Schizosaccharomyces pombe: one gene and its partner. The protein of the gene in region 2 interacts with the protein of the main gene of each other region in a biochemical or structural test. Each region holds a gene or a part of one and is shown on either strand. Other genes may lie near its edges.

Evidence for each region. The genes of interacting proteins can lie anywhere in the genome.
Region 1: the proteins of cdc12 (region 2) and cdc15 form a complex in vitro, tested with the Schizosaccharomyces pombe proteins (4 studies listed by BioGRID, with this or other methods).

Annotation. Positions count from the first base shown.
Region 1 is NC_003424.3:1,401,193-1,404,792, reverse strand, and holds the start of cdc15 (F-BAR domain protein Cdc15), read left to right. Parts: upstream 1-1,856; 5' UTR 1,857-1,906; coding exon 1,907-1,987; intron 1,988-2,045; coding exon 2,046-2,137; intron 2,138-2,313; exon of another isoform or gene 2,314-2,328; coding exon 2,329-3,600. Other genes in the region: CCR4-Not complex subunit Not1, read right to left, coding at 1-1,471. UniProt on the Schizosaccharomyces pombe protein: After the onset of mitosis, forms a ring-like structure which colocalizes with the medial actin ring. Appears to mediate cytoskeletal rearrangements required for cytokinesis. Essential for viability.
Region 2 is NC_003424.3:281,275-285,236, reverse strand, and holds the start of cdc12 (cytokinetic formin Cdc12), read right to left. Parts: upstream 1,894-3,962; 5' UTR 1,762-1,893; coding exon 1-1,761. Other genes in the region: exocytic docking protein Mso1, read right to left, coding at 2,833-3,288. UniProt on the Schizosaccharomyces pombe protein: Plays a role in the cell cycle. Involved in cytokinesis. Component of the cell division ring. In the absence of profilin, caps the barbed end of actin filaments, thus preventing subunit addition and dissociation.

The DNA of each region.
Region 1 (3,600 bases), 1.1 Mb from region 2:
TCCTAACGAAGACAAATTTATGTTCTTTGAAATTGGAAAAAAAGTCTGAACACCATTGAAACGCTAATGACTCTTGAACAGGATTCCATGCCAAAGGGAGCTGCAGCGTACCCAAAAGCAAAAGCTCGGCAGAAACTTTCTCATCCAAAAAATTCAAGAACAGTGAAGTTTCGTAGGTGACTACCTCAGATAACAGGCGTAAAAGGATTTGGACAAGTTCAATGCAATTTAAATTACTTTTTTCATATATTTTCGCATAATTAACAAGCTCTTCGCTATAATCCTTTAAGCTATCAACAGAAACTACAGGATTGACATTGAACTCTCTTATATCAAACATCGATGTTGGGGATAGGATAATATGAGAAATGATGGAAAGTTGCGGTAAAGGATTTCTCCAAAGAACCCAGAGAAAGTCCAACGTAAAATTAGTTTGCCTTAACTTGTAAGCATTTGTAAAGATTGTGAAGAACAGTACAAGACTAGGTGTACCCGTTATCATAAATTTAGGATTATCGAACATAGAAAGCATAGCTTCCCAATTTAGGTTTTCAAAAGAGGAAACGATAGCTTTACCCATCAAAACAGTGTCCCAAGCACCATAATCATGTATAGCTACAAGTGAATTTATAAGATAAGCAACATCAGTCTCAGTAGCCGTTCCCGGGGGATATTTTTTAAGAATTGCTTCTTTCATAGACTTAAGTGTAGCTTTGGAAGCTTTCATCGGACCAAACAAAGCTGTAAGAGGGCGTGAATTCGCCAACTTTTTCTCAATTATAGCATCAAACTTTGGAACTTTAATCAAGGGTATTCTGTCATAGTCGGTGGTAAACAAACCTTCCCTGAGCAAATCCAAATCGTTTTTATCAATACTTTGTTGCTGAGTAGGATCGGATAGTTGGTTTAAAAGAGATTGGAATGTGTTTTTAAGCAAAGCAGAAGCTTTCTTTGCTAAAGTAGGTTTAACAGAAGTGGTAAGTCCAATTAAAAGGTTAGTCCTTTCTAACGGGGAGAATTGGAAATGGTCTAAAAATGCCTCTATATCGAAATCTTCAAATACTTCAGAATCAGAACCTGAAATAGCATCACTAAAACGTTTCGCCATGACCCAAGACTTCGTGAGAGATTTTAATTCATCTAGTAGTAATTTATAAGTAGCTAGTCCATCAGAAGATTTACCGGTACCAAAAATACGGTATGAATTTCCTTGAATTAGACGGCGAAGAAAATGGTGGTATACTCTGGGTGCATTTTTGTTGATAAGTTGACGAATCTGTTCAAGTTTCGTATCATATTGGTCTTCCCGTAAGGTCGACAATAAGAAAAGGATTTGTGCTTTAACAATACTTTCAATTTTTGAATCGTTTGGTGGAGGGGTCTTAGAATCTAGTGATATAGGATGCCCAGATTCAGAAGTTGAACTAGATTTCTCTCGTGTCTCCGGCGTTTGTTGTTCTTGGCTCTTCATATTTTTAACGCTTTTCTATTACCATGCCTTTGTGAGGCTATTATTATACTCCTATGCTATTTTCAGCTGATATATTCTTTGAATATTTACAGATGAGATGCAGCAGTATCTGCTAGCAAGTTTGAATGAAAATAGGTGCAGTGGTGTTTTGCAAAAGATATGTCGGTCCTCCTCACTGCCAGGCAGTCTAAGAAAGGATCGAACATTAAATTTAACGAGACTGTATCTTTCGTAAACTTTTTTAACAAAATTTAAGGATAGAGTTAATTTGCAGTTGCTTATTGTGCACTCAGATAGGCAACGGTTGCTAGGGACGGTTGTCACCGCAGTAGTCGCAGTAAACAAACATGTTTACTCTTTTCCTGAAATCGACTACCAGGAATTTACCAACAACAAATCACAAATTTTGCTGCATTTTGTTCTTTCAATAACAAAATGGAGGTTAATGGAGTCTCTCAATCTGAAGCGGCTCCGTACGTTACCAAATCTTCTGTTAAGTTCCGCGATAATTTCTGGGTATGTGTAAATTTGCTGTATTTAGTAAAGCAAAGTTATGTTAACAAAATCGTTGCAGGGATCTGAAGATGCGGGTATGGATGCTCTTATGTCCCGAACAAAATCTTCTCTTTCCGTATTAGAATCAATTGATGAATTTTACGCAAAGCGGTAAGTATGGTTGCCTCGTTTGGAAGTTGCAGCTCTACCTTAAGCGCTACGATGATTCAAGAAATATGTTTTTGGTCGTTTCATTGTCATTTAAGATGTTTTACAGATAATCGTGGATTCTTAAGATAGCTTGTGTAATGAACCGAAGGGTTCGGTATGATTATTGATTAAAGTCTGACTAACTAAATTAGTGCTTCTATTGAGCGTGAGTACGCATCTAAACTGCAAGAGTTAGCTGCCAGCTCAGCAGACATCCCAGAAGTTGGATCAACTTTAAATAATATTTTATCTATGAGAACTGAAACAGGGAGTATGGCCAAAGCGCATGAAGAAGTCTCACAACAGATAAATACCGAATTGCGAAATAAAATTCGCGAGTACATTGATCAGACGGAGCAACAGAAAGTTGTTGCAGCCAATGCCATTGAGGAATTATATCAGAAAAAAACGGCTCTCGAAATAGACTTATCCGAGAAGAAGGATGCCTACGAGTACAGTTGTAACAAGCTGAATAGCTACATGAGACAGACAAAAAAGATGACTGGTCGTGAATTAGACAAATACAATTTAAAAATCCGTCAAGCAGCGCTAGCAGTAAAAAAAATGGATGCGGAATACAGAGAAACAAACGAATTACTTCTTACAGTTACTCGGGAATGGATTGATCGTTGGACAGAGGTCTGTGATGCTTTTCAACATATTGAGGAATATCGTTTAGAGTTTCTCAAAACAAACATGTGGGCCTATGCAAATATAATATCTACTGCTTGTGTAAAAGATGATGAATCTTGTGAAAAGATTCGACTCACACTCGAAAACACTAACATTGATGAAGATATTACTCAAATGATTCAAAACGAAGGTACCGGAACTACAATTCCCCCTTTACCCGAGTTTAATGACTATTTCAAAGAAAACGGATTAAATTATGACATCGACCAGCTCATTTCTAAAGCTCCTTCTTATCCATACTCCTCTTCGCGTCCCTCAGCTTCTGCATCTTTGGCAAGTTCGCCAACACGTAGCGCTTTTCGCCCCAAAACTAGTGAAACAGTTTCATCGGAAGTTGTATCATCACCACCTACTTCACCATTGCATTCACCAGTTAAGCCAGTGTCTAATGAACAAGTTGAACAAGTTACAGAGGTTGAACTTTCTATTCCCGTTCCTTCTATACAAGAAGCTGAATCCCAGAAACCAGTACTTACAGGGAGCTCAATGCGTCGACCTTCTGTAACATCACCAACTTTTGAAGTAGCTGCTCGTCCTTTGACTTCAATGGATGTTAGATCCTCTCATAATGCCGAGACTGAGGTACAGGCTATACCCGCTGCAACAGATATATCACCCGAAGTTAAGGAAGGTAAAAATAGTGAGAATGCTATCACGAAAGATAATGATGATATTATTTTGAGTAGTCAACTTCAACCTACTGCTACCGGAAGTCGGTCATCTAGGTTGTC
Region 2 (3,962 bases):
GTTTTGAATAGTTGATTCAAGTAAACGGCCAACTTCATTTGATGCAAATTCATTGAAGCTACTTAAAATTGAGGATTCATTTGACATAAAGGAATCGACATCTTCATGCGTGGTCTGACTTATAGTCCTCCTCTCTTCTTCTGATTCATATATGTTTAGTTGTTTCTCAAGTTGTTGGTCAGGAAAGTTACGTAGAAGTTGTATAACTTCGTGTATACCTGATTCACGAAGGGAATCCAATATATCAAGGTCAAATCCTTGCTCCAATTCTTCGCAAGCAACAATTAGCTGATTGATAAATTCCATAGTGGAAGTACAATACTCAAGAAACGCTATGTTTGAAGGTGAGCTGGAAGCAGAATTTCGAGCAGGAGAAGATGGAGGGGTTCGTGCTAATTCTTTTTCCAAGATTATGTCTTTGAAAGATTTTATCCATCCAAAGAATAGCGGAACCTCCTTTTCATATTCGGCATTTATTTCTTTAAATCCAGTTTCCAATATGGAGACCACAAGAGGTTCCTTTAAAGACAGAACCCATGTCAATAAATCTGCGGCTACTTTCCTCGGAAGCAAATTTGGGGATATAAGGGTCACTGTTATTGCTTGAAATATATAAGAATTGGAAGTAACCAGAGTAGGTTTTTTCTTCAAAAGAGTAAGCATGCAACGAGGAACTTCAGCTTGCTGAGGCTGCACTACGGCAGACGAATTAAAATATGTAAGTAGATTATGCAAAGCTCGAAGTCCCTGCAGTTCAAGAAAAAGAGATATCCATCGATCGGATTGAGTTGATAATAAAGAAGAAAGTGTGATAAGTTGTAAATTACTAATTGTTTTATTCCATAGTTGGATTACGAACCAGGAAACAGGTCTATGGACGGCAGCTAATTCTGGAATTTGGAAAGAAGGATCATCAAACCCGGCGAAGTTAGAACGAATAAAACACCACTTTTCATCTGGAGTACAACTTTGAAGCATTTCAATGGCGTTTTCGTCAAAATCAAATACAGGGTGTCTTAAAAAATCGTTGAATAGATGTATTAGCTGATCCAATGAAGGTGGTCGAGTACTCGGAATTTCAAACTGAAACGAGCATACCGAATTAGGGCTCCCAGCTCGAATTGAACGTAGTCGATAAACTTGTTCATCATTAGTAGAAGTGAATTTTGGGGAAACCTCGTTGGTAATCTCAGGGACTTCAACAACAGGAGCAAGTTTATGCTTAGTTCGCCTTTTTGTCTTAGATACTGGAACTGAGGGAACAGGAGGTTTCGGCAAAGGATCAAAAGAGCGAGAATGTACAGGGGGTGTCACTGGAGCAATTTGGACATCCTCAGAACTTTTAATAATGTTTTTGGGCAACCTAGGACCCTTGAGATGTTTAGAAGTGTGCAAATGTTCAACGGAAGACGAAGATGGTAGATCAGTGACTTCAACTTTATTCGCTTTGGGTCGATGGACAGTAGATTTCTCGGGTGTTTTAGGTAAAGGAAGCTGGGAATTTTGCAAAGCATGTTTATTATGAGAATTGTACTCTTTCGATGAAAAGGTAAATTGCTTTACATACGGAGAAGTAACTGATTGGGACTTATTAGGCTGGATTAACGTCGATACTGATTCTATGGATGATGGAGGTTTATGGTACGTTGTTTTGGACTTAGGAGCCCTTGGCCCAATAGTTCTTCTGGCTGATGGAGTTGGAGTAGACAGAATAGAGTCATAAGAAAAATTAGGGTCCTGTCCCTTTGACGAATTTCGCATCTCTACTTCATAAACGAATGCAGCATTGTAATTGCTTTCAGGATCTTGTTTTCAAGTATTAACAAGGAAACTGTGATGAAAAGTTTTAGCTCAATTAAACCTTTTTTTTAAATTTGCTAAAAGTTGATGTTCAGAACTTGTTGACCTTCAAATTTGGATAAAGTGGAACACTTAGCGAGTAAGGGTTGGGATGGCTTAAATGATCTAAGATAATACGTATACTTGCGAACAAGTAAGTTGAAAGGAAATGAAACTTCGATATATCTAATATTATAATGGTTAAATTGCGTTATAGCGTATTAAATTTTATTTTTAGGATAATCGAAATTCTCGTCTTGTAAGTCTAGTCTGCATTTGGATGCGGTTTCTGGTTGCTTAAAACGTTGTTCAATGAGAAAATACATTCGTGAAGATCATTTTTACTTACAAAGCATTCGTAACATATTTTGTTGTCACGTTGAGCTAAATATAACCAGAAATTTGCAAATAAACGAGAATCACAAGAACGAATCCATTGGTGCTTTTATTTACATACCATATTAAATTACAATAACGAATTTTCACAATTCGTCCCTAAGTGTTCGAGTTAGAAATTAAAGAAACCTATACGATGCGCTGTATGTAACGATAAGTTTTTATAATGTTGAATTGATTTCAGCTACTAGCTTTAATTCTACCAAGCGCTTTTTGAACAGTTTAATTTTTAAAGCTACAATCCGGTTAGAAACATAAAGAACATGTGATGGTTATTTAATTAGACTAAATGATAGTTCTCAAACTAAAGGCGAGTTGCTTAGGATAGTGCACCTTATTGTCAGGTCATTCCAAAAATAATTACTAAAGGAAAAACCAGAAAAGGTGAGCTAACTCAAAGTTGTAAAATAAGTAATTATGCCTCTGTACTGACAAATGTCGAACTTCTGGGTAAGATGGGCTTAGTTATTAACAAACGAGGTTGAGAATAACACATACGTAGTAACAGCATTTTCAAAGAAACAAAAAGTCGTTTTGATCATTAATACGCCATTAACAGATACCAATGAGAGTAAAGTAAAGGTATCGTTGTGTCAACTAAAACTTCTTTCTAGTGTGATCAAATTTTGACCGTAGCAATGAGCCGGAAGGTGTAGAGGAAAGAGGTTTCGTGGTGGAAGGTGATTTTTGAAGACTTCCGACACCTTCAAACAAATCGTCAAAGGTACTATGTTGAACAGAAGGTAATCGTCGTAAAGGGGGAGACGAAGCAGAGGAAGTGGAGGACGATAGCCTCCTAGGATTGGCCGGAATATATGAAGCTTTTAAATTTGAAGGAGCCGCATTACTTGCATTTATGCTAACTGGGGAAGTAGGTCCTGTGTTAACTGGAGGCTGCCATCCAGGAGGACGAAGCCATTCAGGTAATGTCCCAATTTTGTCCATATAGTATTTTCTCATTACACGAGCAACGTGAGTATCTTCAATCGTATTATCGCTTTCAGGGTCGCGAATACGATTAATTTTTGAAGAAATCGATAACTTTGACCACATGATGAATCGAGAGTTCGCGTTTCTTTATGTACTACTTAATCTCTAAATTTTAAAGAACCTTGGCATTTGAATTCAAAAAATTTCAATAAAAGTAATTAATAAAAAAGTTTAGCCATTATTATGATGCCAAGAACGGCTTAATATCTGGCGACGCGGATTTCATAAAGACGCCAACTCGCTAAACTGTCTAAAGTGATTAATAACACGACCATGAACTACATTATATGTTTTAACGAATGTAAAATCAGCACATAAATAGATAATTTTATTGCAAATGTCCAATTGATTAATATCTTACAAATAAAAATAATTTGTGGGTGGATTTAAACATTTAATTTAGATACTCTCGAAGATGATGCATGAAATCGGCTAAAAAAAAGAATGAACGATGAAAAGCTTGGTAAACAAAATCAATACTGAGCAATCTTACTATGTAGTAGCTAATTAAGGTATACATAATTTCTAAATGGACTACGAAAATGTAGTTTTAAAATAGTTAGGTAAGTTTTAATTTTACTACTTGTAGTCTTCCAAAAATCATAAACTAGTATCTACAATAAAAATTTCTTTAAATTAAATATATGTCGGTGAAAAAGAGCCTCGCCCTTAATATGTATTCACTACGAAAACTAAATAAGGATATCGTATATATTAGTTGTTCTGCGTTCACAAAG